Cricetulus griseus: one gene and its partners. The protein of the gene in region 1 binds, or shares a complex with, the protein of each later gene. Links are inferred from orthologs where the notes say so. Each region holds a gene or a part of one and is shown in the gene's direction. Other genes may lie near its edges. The genes, in order: Upf3b, Magoh, Upf2 and Magohb.

The links.
Region 2: Upf3b (region 1) and Magoh share a complex: the UniProt entries of both Homo sapiens proteins name them as parts of the mRNA splicing-dependent exon junction complex. The link is inferred for Cricetulus griseus from reciprocal best matches to the Homo sapiens genes UPF3B and MAGOH.
Region 3: the proteins of Upf3b (region 1) and Upf2 are in contact, whole or in part, in a crystal structure (PDB 7NWU), measured with the Homo sapiens proteins. The link is inferred for Cricetulus griseus from reciprocal best matches to the Homo sapiens genes UPF3B and UPF2. Residues at the interface, in NP_542199.1 of Homo sapiens: Lys52, Arg56, Arg57, Tyr79, Glu81, Phe83, Asn85, Asp86, Thr87, Ser88, Leu89, Tyr90, His92, Tyr94, Arg96, Tyr98, Ile130, Glu132, Pro135, Phe136, Lys138, Ala139, Ala140, Arg147, Asp148, Lys150, Val151, Gly152, Thr153, Ile154; in NP_056357.1 of Homo sapiens: Lys767, Arg768, Pro769, Pro770, Leu771, Glu773, Tyr774, Lys777, Lys790, Arg793, Gln794, Arg796, Lys797, Leu798, Pro799, Trp800, Gln801, Cys811, Ile814, Asn815, Trp817, Tyr837, Gln838, Glu839, Asp840, Ile843, His844, Val846, Asp847, Gly848.
Region 4: Upf3b (region 1) and Magohb share a complex: the UniProt entries of both Homo sapiens proteins name them as parts of the mRNA splicing-dependent exon junction complex. The link is inferred for Cricetulus griseus from reciprocal best matches to the Homo sapiens genes UPF3B and MAGOHB.

The regions. Positions count from the first base shown.
Region 1 is NC_048604.1:29,415,828-29,421,035, forward strand, and holds the end of Upf3b (regulator of nonsense transcripts 3B), read left to right. Parts: intron 1-2,685; coding exon 2,686-2,829; 3' UTR 2,830-3,657; downstream 3,658-5,208. UniProt on the Homo sapiens protein: Involved in nonsense-mediated decay (NMD) of mRNAs containing premature stop codons by associating with the nuclear exon junction complex (EJC) and serving as link between the EJC core and NMD machinery.
Region 2 is NC_048595.1:41,959,028-41,964,737, reverse strand, and holds the start of Magoh (protein mago nashi homolog), read left to right. Parts: upstream 1-2,475; 5' UTR 2,476-2,570; coding exon 2,571-2,658; intron 2,659-4,748; coding exon 4,749-4,807; intron 4,808-5,710. UniProt on the Homo sapiens protein: Required for pre-mRNA splicing as component of the spliceosome. Plays a redundant role with MAGOHB as core component of the exon junction complex (EJC) and in the nonsense-mediated decay (NMD) pathway.
Region 3 is NC_048596.1:223,229,879-223,234,823, forward strand, and holds part of Upf2 (regulator of nonsense transcripts 2), read left to right. Parts: intron 1-2,966; coding exon 2,967-3,108; intron 3,109-3,655; coding exon 3,656-3,776; coding exon of another isoform or gene 3,777-3,780; intron 3,781-4,945. UniProt on the Homo sapiens protein: Involved in nonsense-mediated decay (NMD) of mRNAs containing premature stop codons by associating with the nuclear exon junction complex (EJC).
Region 4 is NC_048601.1:16,032,012-16,037,440, forward strand, and holds the start of Magohb (protein mago nashi homolog 2), read left to right. Parts: upstream 1-1,665; 5' UTR 1,666-1,739; coding exon 1,740-1,833; exon of another isoform or gene 1,834-1,876; intron 1,877-3,762; exon of another isoform or gene 3,763-3,970; intron 3,971-5,327; coding exon 5,328-5,386; intron 5,387-5,429. UniProt on the Homo sapiens protein: Required for pre-mRNA splicing as component of the spliceosome. Plays a redundant role with MAGOH in the exon junction complex and in the nonsense-mediated decay (NMD) pathway.

The DNA.
Region 1 (5,208 bases):
TGGGTTGTACCTAAATTTGAGCTCATGTTTTTAGCAAACATGCAGTCCCAACTACTAGGAAGGTGGAGGCAGGAAGATCACAGGAGCCTAGGAGTTCAAGAACAGCCTTGACAATACAGTGAGAGTTCATTTTCTCAAAAGTTGATGGCAATTTACTTCGGTTCTAACCTCATAGCTTTCAGGGAAGCTCCCAGGCTTTTTATTTTAAAATTTAATTAATGTATGTGTGCAAGTTGAGGTCAGAGAACAGGTTGCAAGAGTTGGCTCTTTCCTTTTTCATGTGGGCCCCAGGGATCAAAGTCACCTCCTGAACCATCTTACCAGCCAAAGTTTTCATTCAAAATTAATGTCTATATCTAATGAATATTTTTACCTATATTATATATGTATATAATATATATTTGTGCTAGGACCTTGTTAGGTAAGTAGTCTACCACTGAGCTAAAACCCCAGCCCATCCTAAACATATTTTAGGTAGTTTGGGATTTTATAGTGAATTTTTTACATGGGACAATGTGGCTCATGTCTGTAATCCCAACACTGGAAAGTTTGAGATGGGAGGAGTTCATGTTGAAGGTCAGTCAGTCTGGGCTACCTTAGGCCCTGTTCTCTCTCCTCCACCAAAAAGGGCAATTTACTGGTGGTGAATAACAGGCAGGTTGTTAAGGTTTCTCCAGAGATTTTTTCCCTAGGGCCAAGAATCTAAAACTGGCTTTGCACAGATTAGGCAAGCATCTATTACTGAGCCACAGCTTAGTCCTTTGTCATATTAGTTAGGGTTTCTTCTGCTATGAAGACACACCATGATCACGGCAACTCTAATTGGGTGACTTACAGTTCAGAGGTTCAGTCCTTTATCACTATGGTGGGACATGGCATGGAGCAGGCAGACATAGTGCTTGAGAAAGAGCTGAGAGTTCTATCTTTGATTTGCAGTCAACCAAAAGTGAACTGAGTGTCTCACTGGGCATAACTTGAGCATATATGAAACCTCAAAACCCACCCCCACAGTGACATACTTCCTCCAACAAGGCCACACCTACTCCAGCAAAGCCACACCTCCTAATAGTGCCACTCCCTATGAGGTTTGGGGGGGGCATTTACATTCAAACTACCATACCCTTGTTTGTTTTAGTTTTGACATTTAAAAAATTAAGAGCTAATTAAGTAATCTTGAGATAGCTTTGAAAATTAGGCAAATACATTATATGCATGTATGAAATTCTCAAAGAATTAATAAAAATATTATTATTTTAAAACTAGGCGATAGGTGTCTGCTTCTGCTCCCATCACCTACTGGATGAAGGGTCTAGGATGGCATATAAGGTAGTCATCAATCTCATTATCGGGGAAGGGCATTTAAGGTAGTATCTCTACTATTGTTTAGATTCTTAGTTGGGGTCATCCTTGTAGATCTCTGGACATTCCCCTAGTGCCAGATTTCTTTTTAAATTTGTAATGGCTCCCCCTATTAAGCACTGAGCTGTCCTGGAATATAGTTGTAGAGAGGGGTCAAGACCATACTAGAGAAACCCACAGAAACAGTGGACCTGACCAAGAGAGAACACACAGACCCCAATCAGAAAGTTCGGCAACCAGATTGGACCGAACCAAGCCCTCTGAAAGTGGGTACCACTTAGGAGTCTATGGGACCTCTGACAGTGAAACCAGTGTTGATCCCTAGTGCACAAATGGACTTTGAGAGCCCATTCCCCAAGGAGGGATACTCTCTCCACCCAGATACACAGAGGAGGGCTTAGGCCCTCCCCCAAATGATGTGACAGACTGATGATCCCCGATGGAAGGTCTCACCCTCAATGGGGGGTGGGATGGGGGATTGGTGGGGGAATGGGAGGGAGGGGAACTGGGATTCATATGTAAAATATGATTGTTTCTAAACTAAATAAAAAAACTAAAAAAAAACAAAAACTAGGCAATAGATTTGTCAATTGTTTTTTTCTTTTTTCTTTTTTTTCCTTTCTTTTTTCTTTTCTTTTTTTTTTTTTTTTTGGTTTTTCCAGGCAGGATTTCTCTGTGGCTTTGGAGGCTGTCCTGGAACTAGCTCTTGTAGACCAGGCTGTCCTTGAACTCACAGAGATCCACCTGTCTCTGCCTCTCCAGTGCTGGGATTAAAGGCCTGCGCCACCACTGCCTGGCCAGACATGTGATTCTTAAGTGACTGTTAATTGGGTATGGTGTCAAACACCTTTAATCCCAGCATTCAGAAGGCAGAAGCAGATGGATTTCTGTGAGTTCGAGGCCAGCCAGGGCTACACAGAGAAAGCCTGTGTGAAATAAAGAAGTGACAGCAGCTATAGCTAGTGTTGATGGCCTGTAGTCCTAGCTACTTAGAAAGCTGAGGCAAGAAGATGTTAAGTTGAAGGTCTACCTGGGCAACTTAGTGATAGCCTGTCTCAGAATGAATAAAAAGGGGGCTGGAAATGGAGCTCAGTAGAGCACTTAACTAATGCACAAGGCTCTTGTTTCAATCCCTCCTTTAAAAAAAAAGAAAGAGGTTACTTTTCAGATGGAGAGAGGAAATGGGACTATGTAGCACACATTCAGGTCTTTGACCTGGTATAACTTGATTAGGGGGGTATGTGAAAGTACAGTTTAGGTCTCTAAAATCCCCCATGTTCAAGAAGAGTAACAGTGTTGTAACATGAATATTTTGTTTTGTTTCAGGATCGTCCAGCAATGCAGCTTTACCAACCAGGAGCTCGAAGCCGAAGTCGACTCTGTCCCCCTGATGACAAGCCTGGAGATTCACCAGTGGACAAAAAGCAGGAAAGTGGTATTAGCCATAGAAAAGAAGGAGGAGAGGAGTGAGAAGTCCCGATGGCCATAGGTGTCCTGACTGTCCAGGCAGCCAAAGAGCACGTATTATGCTATCCAGAAGTGCCTTCAGGGCAAAGGAACAGAGAACAAGAAAACGGGTCGCTGTGCTGGTGGGGTGCACTGCAGAGGAGTGTAGTGTGTCTAAGCAGGAATAAGATTGCAGGCTCAGAATCAGAAGAACAATTTCATTGTCTTTTGCAGTTTTCACAATTTTAATGTCTCAGAAAAAGAAGGTAGGAAGAGCATTGCAAGTGAAAAATGTCAAGTAAGGACTTAACTTTGACAAGCCAAAAAGGAGCAGGGTCGAAAATCAACAGGTGTTCTAAATCCTGGCTTGGAGTGTCTTAGTTGGAATGGAGCAGAAGCACACTAAGTCTTGTTGGGCTCTAACTATTTTGCATTGTTGGTGATAACCATTGACTTGGTAGTGTAGAAGCAACAAGCATGTAATTATAGCACAAGTAGAGTGCAGGATAGAACAAATTACGGCTGATGGAAAAGATTAATAGTCACCTTACATCTATATCCTGTGTCTGAAGTTTTTGTAATTATAGCTTGTTTTGTTTACTTCTGTGAAAGTAGCATCAAAAAATATTTGTAAATGTCTTATTTTGCCTTTAGCATTTTTTCTATTAATAGGTAAAGTGTAATCCTTGTTTAGTTGCTGACAATCTAGTGTTTGTTTTATCTTAGGTGTGATGACTTAAGTGCATACCCTCTCCAGGACGGAAACTACGCCAATATCTGTTCCTGTTAAATGGCAGCTTTCAGTCATAGCTTGTTTTGTATTGCTGTCAATAAATTTTGAATTCACTCAAATATGAAAGTACATTTATTTATTCACATACTGGCTTATTTATAGGACTGGGAATGGAATCAAGGGCCTCTTCCACTCAGCTATAACCTCTCCAGCCCCAAGCTAAGTGACTTTATTAACCTTGTTAAGTAGCTGTTGGTTTTCAGAGATTAAACATTTGATACTGAATTAACTTCTTGGGAACTTTGAAAGGGCATAAATGATATTAATTTCTGCCTTCAGTAGGCAAGGAAATTTTCCACCAAAAAGAGGGGTCAGATCATGGTTCACCATTCTTTTACTGTAACAAAATGAAGCTGGTCTGTGTGGTTCGAACCTGCAATGCCAGCACTCAGGTCAAGGCATGAGGATTGACATGAATTTGAGGTCATCCTGGACTACATAGTAGGATGTAGGGCTAACCTGTGCCAGAAAGTGAGACTGCCTTCACACAACAAATGCACAACATTCTTTTTTTCCTCTTTATTTATTCTATGTATCTTTTACATTGTGTATCTTGATCCCATTCATTTCCTTGTCCCTTCTAATCCCCCTCTACCCCTGCATCCCCTCTCAGATAAAACAAAAGAGAAGGGAAAAGAAAAAAAAGGAAAAAATTAAAAATCTCGTCATGGAATCTGTAGTGTGACACAGTGAATCACACAGTAAACCCTTTTGTCCATATCTCTTTACTTGCAAGTGTTCATTGCAAAGAATCTGGTTCGCGGCCTCTGGTTTCTGTTACACTACTAATGTTGGGCCCTCACTGGGCCTCCTCTTGGATATCCTGTTGTTGCCCTGTGTCCTGGAGATCCTGTAGCTTTGGGTCTGCGGGTCAGGTCCCTTCATGTGCTCCAGCAGATCACAGATGGGGTGGAGTGGATGTTGGGGCTGGTCAAGTCCATAATCCTAGGTCTGGGCCCAGGCTGCTTCAGGGTTTATCAGCCCACCAGCTCCTCCTTGTCCTCACCACTAGGATGGGCTCTCCAGCATTGCCCAAGCTAATGCACCTCTTGCAGCAGTGAAGGATGGAGCCAGTTCTCCTGCTTTCATGCCCTCAGGGTCTGCTCTTCCACACCAACACCATCAGGGCCAGCTCTACTGTGTTGCCCCTGTGAGGTCCAGGGGCCCTTCTTCTCAGCACTGCAGCTGGTGAGGGGTAGGGACAGCTCTCAGGCTCTTATGACCTAATGGCCAGCTCCTCCACCTGTCTCAGGCATCTCTCCTCTGCCCATGCTGCCATATGTCAGATGAGTAATGGGGACAGCTGTCCTTTGCTGTCACCCTTACCTCCAAATACCCTGCCAGCTGTGCTGTGCTGTCTAGGCAAGGGCGGGGCCTGCTTGCCTGAATGCTGCAGCTGGTGAGGGGGAGGGTCAGCTTTAGTCTGTTGCAGGCAGTGAGGGGCAATGGGTAAGGGGGGCATCTCTTCCCTACCCACACTGCCCCATGACAGACAAGCAATGGGGCACAGCATTCTTGAGCTTCTGCCGGATTTCCTTCCTGCCAGCTCCACCTAATGTGACACCTGCTGGCCATTACTAATAGGCTAGCTTATGGCTTTATATTTCTTC
Region 2 (5,710 bases), on another chromosome or scaffold:
TTTTCCAGTCTAGCTTAAGTGACAGCCGAAGCAGACTTTCTGAAATGCAGTAGGGTGGGGTAATGGCAAATGCCTTTAACACCAGCACTCCAGAGGCCGGGGAGGGGTGGGGGTAGGGGGGCCAGATATTTGTGCTGAAGTCCAGTCTGGTCTACATAGTGAGTTCCAAGCCAGCCGGGGCTACACACCGAGACTCAAAAACCAAATAAGAAAACAGTGGTGGAGGAGGTGGTGGTGAGATGGCTTATTTGATGAAGATGTCTGTCAGTCTCCTATAATCACATTTTACTGCTTTTTACCTAGTCGACCTTAAAATTCCCACAGCCAGCAAACTTTCACAGAGGTCAACTTTGACTCTTAAATAAAACAACCCCATGTTTGACTCACCTAGTTTTTTTGGTTTCAGGTTTTTTGTTTGTTTGTTTTTGTGAGAGGGTCTCACTTTGTAGTCCTGGCTGGCCTGGAACTCGATAGGTAGACCAGGCTGCGTTTAAACTCAGAAATCTCCCCTGATCTGCCTCTGAAGTGCTGGGATTAAACGCATGTGCCCGGTGCCAAAGTCCTGGCCTGGGCCTGTGTGTGTGTGTGTGTGTGTGTGTGTGTGTGTGTGTCTTAGAATCACTGTGGGTAAGGTGTCTGGGAGTGGGAATCCAATGTCCACTTTAACATCCTCCCACAGTGTGTGTGTGTGTGTGTGTGTGTGTGTGTGTGTGTGTGTGTGTGTCTTAGAATCACTGTGGGTAAGGTGTCTGGGAGTGGGAATCCAATGTCCACTTTAACATCCTCCCACAGTGTGTGTGTGTGTGTGTGTGTGTGTGTGTGTGTGTGTGTGTGTCTTAGAATCACTGTGGGTAAGGTGTCTGGGAGTGGGAATCCAATGTCCACTTTAACATCCTCCCACAGTGTGTGTGTGTGTGTGTGTGTGTGTGTGTGTGTGTGTGTGTGTGTCTTAGAATCACTGTGGGTAAGGTGTCTGGGAGTGGGAATCCAATGTCCACTTTAACATCCTCCCACAGTGTGTGTGTGTGTGTGTGTGTGTGTGTGTGTGTGTGTGTGTCTTAGAATCACTGTGGGTAAGGTGTCTGGGAGTGGGAATCCAATGTCCACTTTAACATCCTCCCACAGTGTGTGTGTGTGTGTGTGTGTGTGTGTGTGTGTGTGTGTGTGTGTCTTAGAATCACTGTGGGTAAGGTGTCTGGGAGTGGGAATCCAATGTCCACTTTAACATCCTCCCACAGTGTGTGTGTGTGTGTGTGTGTGTGTGTGTGTGTGTGTGTGTGTGGCTTAGAATCACTGTGGGTAAGGTATCTGGGAGTGGGAATCCAATGTCCACTTTAACATCCTCCCACAGCACCTATCCTAGACAGCAGTGAGCCTGGGAGACAGGAGAGATGAGAGGCAACTTGTGCCTAAGAGGTGACACTCTTGGAAGTTGAGGTAGGAGGGTCACAAGTGCCCCGTCAGTCTGCACCTTGCCTATAAATTGTAAAATAAGCAAACGGCAGAAGGGGATGTTGGCAGTGCAGACAAGTTCCAGGCAACGTTGTGGATTGGGGAAGGAGTCATTGAAAACGGGGGGGGGGGGCGGGGGGTGTTGTTTGTTTTTCGAGACAAGGCTTCTCTGTAGCTTTGGGGTCTGTCCTGGAACTCGCTCTGTAGACCATGCTGGCTTCTAACTCACAGACATCCACCTGCCTTAAGGATTAAAGGTGTGCACTAACACTGCTCGGGGAAAAGTTTTCTTAAAAGAGACAGCCAGAGCTGTTAAACAGAGTAACTCTGTCTGGAAAACCCAAAACAAACACACAAAAGTAAAGCGAGCCGGGCGTTGGTGGTGGCGCACGCCTTTAATCCCAGCACTCAGGAGGCAGAGGCAGGCGGATCTCTGTGAGTTCGAGACCAGCCTGGTCTACAAGAGCTAGTTCCAGGACAGCCTCCAAAGCCACAGAGAAACCCTGTCTCAAAAAAAAAAAAAAAAAAAAGTAAAGCGAACTTTTTCGAGACAGGGTCTTACAGTATGCAGCCTCTAGCCTCAACTCGTGACTCCTGGGCGGCGTTAAGCTTTTGAGTGCTAGGCCACAGCTATTCGCTACTACACTGCCCCTCAAACGCAACTCCTGATTCAGACCCTGGGGGTGGGGAAGGGGGCAGCGTGCTCAAAGATGGGGGAGCCATTTTTTGCCCATTTTACTGTGGAGACCACCTGGGTTCAGAGTGTGAATGGCCTCTTTCGTGTGTCTTTACATTGCGGTTGAGCCTGACTGGACTACAGATCGCAGGGTTGGCCCTAAGCCTATAGGTAAAGCTGCCCCGTGGAAGCCCAGGACGTAACGGAAGCGCAGGACCTCGCAAAGCACTCGATTTCCGGAAAGGAGGAGCGGTGATCCGGATCTCGCCGCAGGACGCGGGGGCGGGGTAGTCTCGTTCCCGCCTCCCAAGGGTGAAAAAACTGTTATTAACGGCGCGGTTGTGGCGTCACTTCCGCGCGCCGCCGTTACGTCAGTAGAGGGCGCAGATCGTGGTAGTGTGATCTGTTCGTAAAGTTCGGTCTTGATTGTCCCGTGTGAGCCATGGAGAGTGACTTTTACCTACGTTACTACGTGGGTCACAAAGGCAAGTTCGGTCATGAGTTCCTGGAGTTTGAATTCCGACCTGACGGTAAGAGCGGCCTCCCGCCTACAAGGAAGGGAAACGGGACCTGGGGGAGGGCGGAGAGGCCGGGCCGCGGCTTTTGTGAAGGAAGGGACTGAGACCGGAGCTCTTGGGTTGTGAAAGGCGTAGTCTTTTCTTTCGGCCTCACTGGTCCTTTCTGTCCATACGCTGGAGCTTCTCCTTAGTAACTTTTGGGTTCTTTTGGTTTTTCGAGACAGGGTTTCTCTGTGTAGCTTTGGAGCCTGTCCTGGCAGCCTACTCGCTCTGGAGACCAGGCTGGCCTCGAACTCACAGAGATCCGCCTGCCTCTGCCTCCCGAGTGCTGGGATTAAAGGCATGCACCACCAACGCCCGGCTTCTTAGTGGCTTTAAAAAGCCAGGTTGTTAACGTTTCAACAAAGATTGATTGAATGTCCATCTTACACCGGGCCGTGTTCCACTCTGGGGACAGAGCCACGAAGATAAATTTCCCCTCTCGTGGAACATGTGTTTAGGTACTGGGAGAAACCATAAACAGTGATCTCCTGTAGTGAGGAGTGATCCGAAAATAGGGTCTCTTTTTCGAGAGCACTCTGAACAGTGGGTATTTGAATTGAGCCGGAATCGAGAAGGGACCAGTCAGTTTGTGAAGCTCAGGAAGAAAAGTCTTCTATCGGAGTGGCAAATGTAGAGGTCATAGGACAGCAAAGAACCAGGCATGTTTCAGATGGCCGTTGAGGTGACTGAAGGACAGAATTCTAGGGAAACCAGTAGGAGATGATGTTAGGTGTTTGTAGACCATAAATAGGAGCAGCAGGAAACAGCTTGAAGCTTATAAGAGAAAAGGTGTGATGATCTTCAGAAAGCATCCTAGCGCTTGGACACAGAATAGACATGAGATGGCGGTCGGGACTAGGACAGCTAGGACTATAGACGTGGAGAAGACTTAGGATACTGTTGGAGACGATCTGAATGTATCTGATTGATAATATTTTGGGACGGTTGTGGTGTGGTGAGGAGGCAAGGACAATTCTACTCAAATCTTTCCCTTTTTCAGTTAGTTCTCTATAAGATGGACAAGAACATGTAGCAAGAGGCCTGTGTAATTAGATGACTGTAGTTCTCTGATACTGTCAATAACTTCCCTCTGCCTTCCTGACAAAATTCAAACCCCTTACCATGGCATACAGCCAAGCTGAGTTCCTGTCTGCCTTTTCAACCCTACAATACTCTGCCCACACTACTTTGTTTCTGCCTGCAACATCCCAAGCACTTTTTAGTTTCCAGTGTCTTTGATGTGAATTTGGTCCAAAACACCATCTTCTCTATTCTTGGTCCCTTAGCCCACACCTACACTTCACATTCTTCCTATATTCCACCCACCTAAGTCACTTTATGCATGAAACCTGCTCAGACAGTCAGACTAAATTAGATGCTTCTCCCCAAAGTTCCCTGTTTTTTTCTGCCACATGACACTATATACCCAAACTAGCCTGGTGGTTGTACTCATGCACAGAAGGACTTATGAACCAAATGTGCTCAATTTAAAAGTATGCAGAAATAGATCATACCACAAGACCACATGGGCATGTGTATGTCGCTTCCTACCGTTTTCAAAATACTTTCAGCATGTTCTCTGTGCAGGGAACTTAGCAATTATCATTTCTGTTTACAGCTGAGATCATTGACCTGCTGAAAAGCTATTTGCCAGAGTCGTAAAAGAGCCTGCCTGTGTTCTTTTGCCAAATCAAAGTAACTTTTGCCTGAACTCTATTTCAGTGTCAGGTTAGTCTTCAGCTGTTTCATAATTTAAAGTGGAGCACTGTAAAGACTAATATAATAGCTGTGAATTGGGTTGAACATTGAATATAATGCCGGCTACAGCGGTGGTTGCCCACACTTTTAGTCCCAATACTCAGGAGGCAGAGGCAGGTGGATCTCTGTAAGTTTGAGACCATTCTGGTCTACAGATCGAGTTCCAGGACAGCCAAGAGAGAGAATTGGATATAATTTAGGCAAAGTTGGTATTGTTAGTAGGCTACTGAGTTGATGTTTTGTTGTAAATTGCATTTATTTATTTATTTATTTATTTATTTATTTATTTATTTGCCCCACAGGAAAACTTCGATATGCCAACAACAGCAATTACAAAAATGATGTCATGATCAGAAAAGAGGTAGGACCCTGTCCTTCACTACCAGTGAGCCCTTTACATTGTTTCTGCGCTCTCTGGTAATAGTAATGAAAAGTAAAGAGTGGAGAAACAAATACTTCTTTTTCTTTGTTTTCTATTTGGTTTTTTGTTTTTGTTTCTCAAAACAGGGTTTCTCTGTATAGCCTTGGCCATCCTGAAACTCCCAAGCTGGGTTTGAAGGTGTGCTCCATCACACCCAGCTAAGCACTATTTCTACACGGCTAGATTATTTCTCACATCTTTGGTTTGCATGTTTTTTATTTATTTATTTATTTATTTATTTATTTATTTATTTGGATTGCTGAATTAATAACTAGCAACTTTTTGAAATCTCTGTGTTGGTTTGAACCCTCAATATGCTCCATACTGACCATGTGACCTCAGATAAGTTCCCTGGCTAAACTTGGTCACTATACTTCCATCTGCAAAATGAGGGATAATAAAACCTACCTTTTACTCCTAAGTACTATCACAGAATTAAATATATTTACAGTGTTTGATATAGTTCCTAGCATTGGGTTTGCTTCTGAAAGGGAACAGGGGTTAGTCTGGCTGTTGTGGAACTCCCTGTATAGACCAAGCTGACCTGGAACTCAGATATTTACCTGCCTCAGCCTCCCTGGAAATAAGGCATACACCTGGCATATATGTATGTTCTTTAACCCTGATTTTAAACACTTATGTGACAGAATATTCTATAAATATATATATAGGAAATTAAGGCCCAGATATTAAATCTGAGGCTTGTTCAAAGTTACTCTTGCTTTACTTTGTAAGAAATAATGGCCAAAATTTAGGCATACTTATATTTCAATAAAGTTCATGTATTCCATTCTGTTATGATTTCTAGCATACATTACAGCTACATCAAAACTCTGCCGCACC
Region 3 (4,945 bases), on another chromosome or scaffold:
GAACTGGAATAACAAACATTTGTGAGCTACTGGGTGGGTGGTGGGAATTGAACCCGGGTCCTCTGGAAGAGCATTCAGTGCTCTTAACTACTAAGCCATCTCTCCAGCCCTGAGTATCTCTGTTCTTGTCCATACTTTCTTGTTTAGATAAGTGATCTTGGAAGTCCTACTTTATACCATTCTTTTGCTGGCTGGTATGTGAAGTCTCGATTATAGCAACATAATAGGGCCAAGGCCCACCCCTCTGTCTGTGCTTTCTGTGCTCACTCAGTCTCTAAGGAGGAAAGTGAGAGCTGGTTTTGGTAGGAATCCTAAATTAGGTGTTATATCCAGATCTTTACCAAAACTACTTTTCAGTTACCTGGAGTTGTTAATTTACCACTGAAACCAGGAACCTCAAATCCCAGAGATTGAACTTTTTTCCCTAGGCCTACTTAGTTTTTTGAGCTAGACTTTTTAAAAAGAAACTTAGTCATCACATTTTAGGTCTCCTTTATTCTCCTCTGTGCTCTTCCGCTGTACCCCCTACCCATGCCAACGACTTTTCTTGGCACACACACAAAGTCTGAAAAGGTAATTTAATTCTAGCATTTTAAAGCATATACAATACACAAAGCCTTTACATGGTGGGGGGCCCAAAGGGCAGTGTTTAGCAACTATACATAATTAGGTATTTCTTGGTTCTCATTACTGCATAGCTACTCATGCCTTGGCATGTACCTTGGGGTCCTGAGTTTTACTAACTGAAAGGAAGCTTAGAATTTTCTTTTCTGAAGAAAAGCTATACAACAGTTTTCCTCTTTGTTATATTCAGTTACACATAAAAATCCATTGTCATCAGATTGCACATGCTGTTTAGTCTGTATACAACTTGTAGGCTCTGAAATTAAATCAAGATGTACCTTAAGGCTAGGCATGTTGATACACACCTATAATTCTCAGAGGTTGAAACAGGGTCATTAATCTGAAGGCCAGTTTCAGGAAAATTATTTGAAGAAGCATCATGGTATTTTGTGGTTTGAATAAGTGTATTTTGTTGTGGGTTTTGTTTTTTTTATTTAGCTTTTAGATGTTGGCTTTTTGATGCAACGGCTTTTTTTTCAAGTGTAAAATTTGTTGCTGTATAGGAATGTTTAATTGTTCAGTTCAGTGAAAGATCTCTTTGTGTACCAGATTCCTGTTTAGAAAAAACTTACTATGACATCATCTGCAAAAAATTGTTTATCAATGAAGTGAGTTGGTGAAGAGAAGTAAAAGAAAAACAGTGTCAAAAATCAATGTCTACATTTACATATTTATGAATTTGATCATTAAAAAATTTTAGCATAATAGCTCTGTTATATAATTCAGCATATTTTGTTTTTAAAAATACAAAGTAAACTGCGCACTAGTGGCACACACCTTTAATCCCAGTTCTCAGGAGGCAGAGGCAGGTGGATGTCTTGAGTTCAAGGCCAACCTGGTAGTCTACAGAGTGAGTTTCTCAAGATAGCTAGGGCTACACAGAGAAACCCTGTCTTGAAGAAAAAAGAGAGTAGGGGTTAGAGAAATGGCTCAACAGTTCAGTGTTTGCGATACAATCATGAGGACCGGAGTTTGGTTCCAGCAAACCAGAATCCCACAGACACCTGTAACTCAGCTCTGAGGAATCCAACACTCTCTTTTCTCCTTCACACAAGCAAATATGCAAATAAAATGAATGCTTAAAAAATGCAAAGTAGCCGGGCATTGGTGGCGCACGCCTTTAATCCCAGCACTCGGCAGGCAGAGGCAGGTGGATCTCTGTGAGTTCGAGACCATCCTGGTCTACAAGAGCTAGTTCCAGGACAGCCTCTAAAACCACAGAGAAACCCTATATCGAAAAACCCAAAAAAAAAAAAAAAAAAAAGCAAAGTATATTTAACTTAATACTGGAAGACAAACCATTCTTTTGCAACCAGTACCCATAAAGAATTATGATTTGTTACATGTTTCAACTAGAATAATTAGTACTTACTATAACTTGAGACTCTATATTATATGTATGTATGTATGTATGTATGTATGTATGTAATTTTAAAATGCAGCTGTTATGATCCAGCTTTAAACACCTTCAGTCCCCTACTGTTACTGACACATGCTCCAGAAGCTCAGTGAGTGATCATGCCTTTGATCTAGAGTCATACATTAGGTCTCTTAGGACAGTGCAACCGAGATTTTAGGTTATATGCTTAGGTGGTTAGTATAGCTTACTTTAAAAATTTCCCATGGAACCATGAGCCATGATTTTATAGATTTTTATCTAGGTTTGTCTGCCATATGCATTCCTAAGCTAGAAACACCTTGCTTAAAACAAGCATTCCAAGAAAGGGAACTGGATCTCTGGGTCAGTTGCTTCAGTCTCATCTTCAAAACGAAGTACTCAGAGTGAGGAAGATGGGTCAGATTTGTCCTATATAGTTTGGGAAGCAGGTAGAAATGTAAGGAATATGCCTTTCATTTTGCTTTATAAAAGCCTTTTAAAAGTTGTTTACATATCACTGGTCTGCAGGATGAAAAGTTGTCCTGGCTCTAGGCATTTTCTTCCAGAGAACTGCTATTCATGAAGTCAATTAAACTTAGTGGCTTTCTGGTTTTCATCCACTGCCAAAAGGCTGTGTTTCTTCTTAGGATAATACAGGTATCATTTGGACAAATCTGATGTATAGTGAAGGATACATTGGGGTTTTCTGATTTGTTTGGTGTTTGGTTTTTGGGTTTTTTTTGGACAGGGTTTCTTGTGTAACTTGCCTGTCCTAGCACTAACTGTGTAGATTGGGCTGGCTTCGAACGCAGAGATCCACCTGTCTCTGCCTCCCAAGTGATAGGACTAAAGGTGTGCACCACCACTGCTCAGCCTAATAGTACTGCTTTCTAAACTAATATATTCAATTCTACTTGACTATTTTATCAAGCTATTTGTGATTCCAATGTTATTTTTCCTCCAGTTTAAGATTCTTAATGTGCCCATGTCATCCCAACTTGCTGCAAATCATTGGAACCAGCAACAAGCAGAACAAGAGGAGAGGATGAGAATGAAAAAGCTCACATTAGATATCAATGAACGACAAGAACAAGAAGATTATCAAGGTATAAAATAATTTATAGGCAGGCTGGAAAGATGGCTCAGAGGTCTGAGTTCAATTTCCAGCAACCATGTGGTGGCTCACAACCATCTATAATGAGATCTGATGCCCTCTCCTGGTGTACAGGCAGAACATTGTATACATAGTAAATATATAAGTCTTTTTTTAAAAAAGATAGTGTATAAGATAGTAATAATAATTTATAGGCCAGGAATGTGGCATAGGCCATAGGCTTACAATGCCATCACTCTGGAGGCTGAGGCAGGAAGATCACCAAACATTTGAAGACAGCTTAGGCTACATAGTAAGACTTTCTCAAAAAGAAAAAAGAAACCTGCTAACAATGTATACCAGATATCAAAATTGTTACTTCCTTTACCTTTTCATGCTTTCAATACCTCATAATCATTAGCCTATATAATACTCGTTTTTTGAAAGTTACTATGTATATATGAACGCCAATGAACTGGATCTCCCTGGTGATTTGTGTATTTGTAGAAGTACATATTTACAAGAGCTAACAGCATTTTTCCCTTTGCTCCTAATCACAGAAATGTTGCAGTCTCTTGCACAACGCCCAGCTCCAGCCAACACCAATCGTGAGCGGCGGCCTCGTTACCAACATCCAAAGGGAGCACCTAATGCAGATCTAATCTTTAAGACTGGTGGGAGGTAAACAGCCTTCACTTGCTTCTTCCTCACAAGGGTTTCTGTTAGTGTTTTTGTGAACAAATTGAGAGTTTGGGATTAGACTCAGTACAGTTAATTTTATTGAAGCCTGTTACATCAATGCTAAACATACAAAATAGCTTAGGAGATGATGAGAAATATTAGTTTCCAAGTCTCCTCCAAGCTCATTCCTTGTATCCTTTCTTTGTGAGAGTCTTAAACTCTTCAGCTAACCTCTGTGTCCTATTTTATCTAAAACCACAACTTTAAAAAAAGAAAAAGAACAACTTAACTTATCTATTGTCTTAGGGTTTCTATTGCTATGACAAACACCATGACCAAAAAGCACGTTGGGAAGAAAAAGAGAGTTTATTCAGCTTACACTTCCATGTTGCTGTTCACCAAAGGAAGTTGGGATAGGAACTCAAACAGGATAGGATCCTGGAGGCAGGAGCTGATGGAGGGGTGCTGTTTACTGGCTTGCTCCCCAAGGCTTGCTCAGCCTGCTTTCTTACAGAACCCAGGACCAGCAGTCCAGGGATGGCATCACCCACAATGGGCTGGGCCCTCCCCCATTGACCACTAATTCAGAAAAATGTCTTACAGCTGAATCTCATGGAGGCTTTTCCTCAACTGAGGCTCTGATGACTCTAGCTTGTGTCAAGTTGACACACAAAACCAGCCAGTACAACTAACCAATTGTTGACATGACGCATAAACACATCACTATTAAGCCACAGTCTTTCCTTTCTTATCCACCCCCAAGATCTCACATTAAAAACATAAATAACTTTAAAAGTCTCATAATCTTTACAAATTGAAAAGCATTAAAAGTTCAGTCTCTTTAAAATATCAACTCTCTCTAAAAATCCAAAATCTTCTTAAAAAGTTGAAAGTCTTTCAGCTGTGGGCTCCTATAAAATCAAAATTAAATACTTTCTTACTTCAAGAGAGAACCAGAGCACAGCCACAAACCAAAGCAAAACCAAACTCCAGCTGTGTGAACAATACAACATCCAATGTGTGTGCTCAACTCATGGTCTTCAGGACTTCACCAAAGGTCTTGGATCATTTCCTGTGCTTTGCCCTCTTCACTCAGCTTGTCCTCTCCACTGTGGCTGACTCTACTCCACTGCTGCTGCTGTCCTTGGTGGTTGTCCCATGGTACTGGC
Region 4 (5,429 bases), on another chromosome or scaffold:
TGTGCAAGCTCACTGTCATTTTGTGCTCTTCAATACCATCTCACACCATAATGCTCCTTACCTCTCCAGTTTAAGCCATTGGGAATTGTGGCCTACCCCCCCCCCCAACTGTTAATCCTTACAAATGAAGCGACTCATAAGTTCTACTTATGAAAAACTTTACCCCGATGGCTGTCTGGGCTTTTCAACTTCATGTGCTGTTTGAACACCAAACTTCCCACTAGAGCGATTCATTTTACTTTTGTCTTTAAAATTTTATTTCTTTTTCCTTTTCTTTGTTTGCTCTCTTAGTCTTAGTTTAGGCTGTTGGCTACTGGGTAACTGTGAAGCACTGTGCAAAGGCTTGTTAGGACTCAGGAAGATATTCTGGTTGCCACTGGAATGCATCTTTACTCACCTCACCAGTTACAGGAAGTAGAGCCACACCCCGCTTTACAATGTGCTTCGAGATCAGAGATACCCACAAGAAGTGCAGCTTGTAAACCTTGGCTAAAAACCCAGAAAAGCCACACCCACACCAGAGGGCAACCAGAAAGTACAAGTGGTTTACGAATGTTCCTCCCAAGCCCATTAAAGAAAAAAAAGAAAAGCTATTTGTTCATTACTAAGATAAAATGAAATTGGAAGGAAAAAGGATGAATCTGGAAATTATTATAGTAAGTGGGGGGTAACCGTGAAGTATTAAGACAGATAACCCATTCACTCTTGAACGTGGATCTTAGCTTGTGTACGTAGTTAGATGCTTTTGAGTGTTGGTTATCAAACCAGAAAGGGGACTGGGGGCTAGTTAAAGAAATGGACTGACGAGGTAACAAGGTGCATTTGACAAGACAGTGCGTGTTATGATAATGTGTGGGGAACCTTGGCAGGCGAGGGACAAACATGCCAGGCAGGCAGAGTTTAAGTGAGATTAGAAAGGGAAAGGAGGGGGGGCGGAGGAAAGAGAAAAGAGACACAGAGGCAGAGAGAGAACAGAAGAGAAGAGGGAGACAGGAAAAGTCCTGTCTGCCCCAAGGGAGCAGCGGGAAAGAGAGCCTGAAAGAGAGCATAAGAGGGCGGGGTGGGGTGGGGGTGTGTCTCTCTCTTTTAAAGGGGGTCCTTTGCACCTGCGTGCAGACTTCGCAACCACGGACCCCTGGGCTGACCCGGGTACTGCCCGAGTGCATTCTGCCAGGTGACGGGGACAGGCAAGCATAATGCCTGAGTCCTTAAAGTGCGAGCAGGAATACGCGGGCAGAAGGGCTGGAGGCAGTAGATGGAGGAGGTCACACCCAAACAATACAGAATCCAGGTCATGAAATCCGGGGACTTCAGCCTCCATCGTGCTCGTGCAAGCAACCCTTACTAAACTCGGTGAGGGCCCCCGACCCACCCGCAACCCAGACACAAGGAAGACAGAAAAGGAGACAGAAAAGGAGAGAGGGTAACGAGGAGGAAGTGACTAAAATTCATCATACACGTGTATGAAAATCGTCCAAGAACTAAAAGGGAAAGAGCAAACCATATAAAAATCCTTTCCCAAACGAAAACAACGTGCTTGGGATCTCGGTGCAGCCGCTGCTGCGCGAACCTCTAGCTGTCCTCAGCGTGTCCGGCGGGACCCGCGGCTCCCCTGGCTTTCTTTTCCCTAGGGAGAAGGCGCGCCCGCCGTGACGTTCTTTGCCCGCGCCCCTGACGTCACTGCCCCGCGCCGGCGGCACGTTGGCCTGGCCGTGCAGCGGGCTGGGCCGACGGCAAAAATGTCTATGGCTAGTGATTTCTACCTGCGCTACTACGTAGGGCACAAGGGCAAGTTCGGGCACGAGTTTCTGGAGTTCGAGTTTCGGCCGGACGGTGAGCGGCGGAGGGGCCGCGAGGGAGGGCGAGCCCCCAGCGGGTGGGTTTCTATTTCTGTTCTTCCTTTCTGTGTTATTTCAGTTTTCCTGTTTGGTTTTGAGTCCGGGGTGTGTGTTGGGAGGGGGGGGGGTCTCGTTGTTTAGTCCAGGATGACTTCGAACTCCCGGTCCTCCAGCCGGGCTGGAAGGGCTTCTTTCCGACATAGATTAGAAAGCGCCCGAGCGTGCAGCGTAGCGGGCTTGGGTGTTTGTTTTTGTGAGAGCAAAATTGCTGTAAAGGTATCCAGAAAAGCGCACCCAGCTACCGCCAGCGAAGTTGAACACGGAAAAATCGGAAACCCAGAATGCAGAGCCTGTGCCTCGGCAGTGTTGACGGAATTACCGAGTGATACTTCAGCAGATACTTGAAGTCTTTGGGGGGCCTTTTGGCCTGCTCGCTCATTTACTCTGTGTTGAGGATGCTTTCTAGGGGAGGAAGCTCCCCTGTCTGAACAGGAGTGTGATGTGTGTTAGGCATTGAAATACCGTCTTTATCATGATACGTGGATGGATGGAGGTCAGAGGGAAGGCCCTAAATGAAAGCTTCCCAGAAGCGCCTTTCTCATTGCCTACTAGGTGTTCAGCCCTGTTAAAAAGAAGCTGACTATCTCCTCCCCAGCCACTGGCTGTCAGAGCAAGTAGACGGTGAACACAAGCTCTGTGCTTTCTGAGAGAGGCAAAGGCGGAGGAAGTAGCTGCTGTTGCTCTGGGTGGAGAGTGGAGGACTTGTGTGGTCCCACTCATTGGTGGGAACGACAGATAAGGTTTCCCACGAAATAAGGCTTCATGACCCCCTGCAGAGTGTGTCTGCTGTCCAGTAAGGAGCATACTTGCTGTAGATCAAGGAGAAACATTGTGGATGCCAATCTGATTGTCTTCAGATTGGTTATCATTAAAAAAAAAGGATAGTCCTGGACTGACAGCTAGCAGAGTCCTAAAGCTTTTCAATTTCTCTAAAGATGGTATCTACCAGTATTTTGTCAGAAAGCTCTTAAACAAAGAAGGTAAGAAGTCCGGGGCCAAAGCACCCAAGATTCTCAACTCCAACTTACTGCTCTGAAGAAACAACACACTAAGAAAAACGACAAAGCTGCAGGATATGCTACACTCTTGGCCTACAGAATGAAGGAAGCCAAAAACAACAACAACAACAACAACAACAACAACAAAAAACCAAACCAAACACCAAAAAAAACCCCAAAACCCAAAACAACCCCCAAACAAAAAAACACCAGGCATAGATTTCCAAGAGACATAGGCTGTCCTTGCTGAGAACTTCTACTTTTAAGTCTGAGTCCAGTAAAGAGTAACAAATAAATGATCAAACCTTGAGTTGAAAAAAGAAAACAAAAACAAACAAAAAAACCCCAAACCCAAAAGCTTCCCCTAAACCAGGTGTGGTGGCTCATGCTTCTAATCCCAGCACTTTTGGGAGGCAGAGGCAAGTGGAGCTCTGTGAGTTCCAGGCCAGCCTGGTCTATAGAATGAGTTCTGGGATGGCCAGGGCTATACAGAGAAAGTCCTTCTGTAAAAACAAAACAAAATACCAAAAATAAAATACAATAAGCCAAGCTAAAAAAAAAAAAAAAAAAAAAAAGTCCCAACCCCATAAAAGCTTCTCCTAGAAGATGAGACACTTGAGATCAAAAGGAAACACTTTCTTGTCTTCTGGGTGAAAGAAAAACCAGAGATGAGCAGAGTGAGCAGTGGTTTGTGGAAGCCCCTCCAGTGTAGTGTAAGGCAGTTCTGTCTGGACAGATCTGCTTTCCTGGGTTTTATTTTTGAATACATATTTAAGTGCCAAAGCTGAAGGTCGAACGTGAGACACAGACTTTTGTTTTTGATTTTGTTTTTTTTGAGACAGGGTTTCTCTGTGTATCTTTGTAGACCAGTCTGGTCTTGAAGTCACAGAGATCGCCTCCCCCTGCCTCCTGAGTGCTGGGATTAAAGACATGTGCCACCACCGCCCGGCTGAGACACAGGCGTTTAATCGTATGACTGTATAGATTTTAATTAAGTGCTGTGGACACGCTTCTTTGAAAAGGAAAGTAGGAGAGGATCATGTATATGAATCAAGCTTTGCAGAAGAAGTCAAGGTAACTGTGATCCTGTAGTTGTTTAGAAACTTAATAACTTTACCCTTTGTTCTCCAAAATTTGTTTGGAGCAAACTTACTTTGTTTTTTTGTGGTTGTGGTGGTGGTTTTGTATTTTTTAATTTGATTTGCTTTTTTTATTTCTTTTGTAGTTCTGTTCTTAGCCCCCTTGGCTGTGAGTGCCATGCAGCTTGTCCTTGTCACCCCGAGTCACACAAATAAGAGTAATACTTACCAGGGAAATGCTCTGTATGGATTGGTTCTCATGCACCTTTGCCACCCAATCATTCCACTTACATGAGAAATAGTGACTCACAGAATTTACAGTTCTTGCTGGGTACACCCCAGTATGGTGATCTGTCATTTTAGCAGATAAGAAAGCCATCACAGCTGTATCAGCCCATGGCTGACTAGCCATGCAGGGATGCACACTTTGGGAGCTTCGGAGGTCATGACAGATGGTTTGAAATAAATCAGCCAACAAACTGGCAGTTTACATGGTCTGCATGCTTCCAGTTATAATTTAAAGATTTTTTTCATTATCTTAATTATACACTAATTTGAAGGAAAACAATTAAGAGAATATTTTGGAATAGTAGAGAAAGGGTTGATACAAAGGAGACTTCTTGAGACTTGTGTGACTCTGAGCAAGTTGCTTAACTTGATTTTATGCCCTGTGAATAGGTGAGAAAGTGGAAGCTGCTGCTCGAATTCCTTTAGAGATCAGAAGAAATGCTGTGAGAGCTGCCTTAAGCATCAGCATGTCACACTTGAAGAGAATACTCAGTGCTTTGTCACAGTCACGTTTAGTTTAGGGGCTAGATTGAGAAAATAATCTTGTTTGTTGTGAACAACTTTAATCCCAGCAGTTAGGACACAGACTGAGGCAGGTGGATAGATCTCTGTGAGTTCAAGACCACCAACCTGACTACACAGTGAGATCTTGTCTCAGAAAGGGGAGGGGGGTGAGAACAGGCCTTAAGAAACCTGACCCATTCTAAATGGAAGCTGTGGAACATTTTTTTAATTATTAGTTTTTATTCTTTTATTAGTTCAAATTAGGAACAAGCTTGCTTCACGTGTCAATCCCTTCTCCCTCTCCCTCCCCTCCACCCAACATCCCAACTGCCCCTAGCCATCCCCCCTCCACTCCCCAGGCAGGGTAAGGCCCTCAAAAGGGGCTCCCCAAATTCTACCACATCATGCTGTGGAACATATTTAAGTTTGCTAGCTCACTTTTATATTATTGAGTGTTTATCACTCATCTTACACGAGGAAAGTAGATTTGCTACTAAAAGTGGGATATGAAATTGGCCTTCCCTTTAAAATTGCTCATGGTGTTCTTTATCTCTGCACAGGAAAGCTTAGATACGCCAACAACAGCAATTATAAGAATGATGTGATGATAAGAAAAGAGGTAAGTTGTTCTCTCTCTCTCTCTCTCTCTCTCTCCTTTTTTT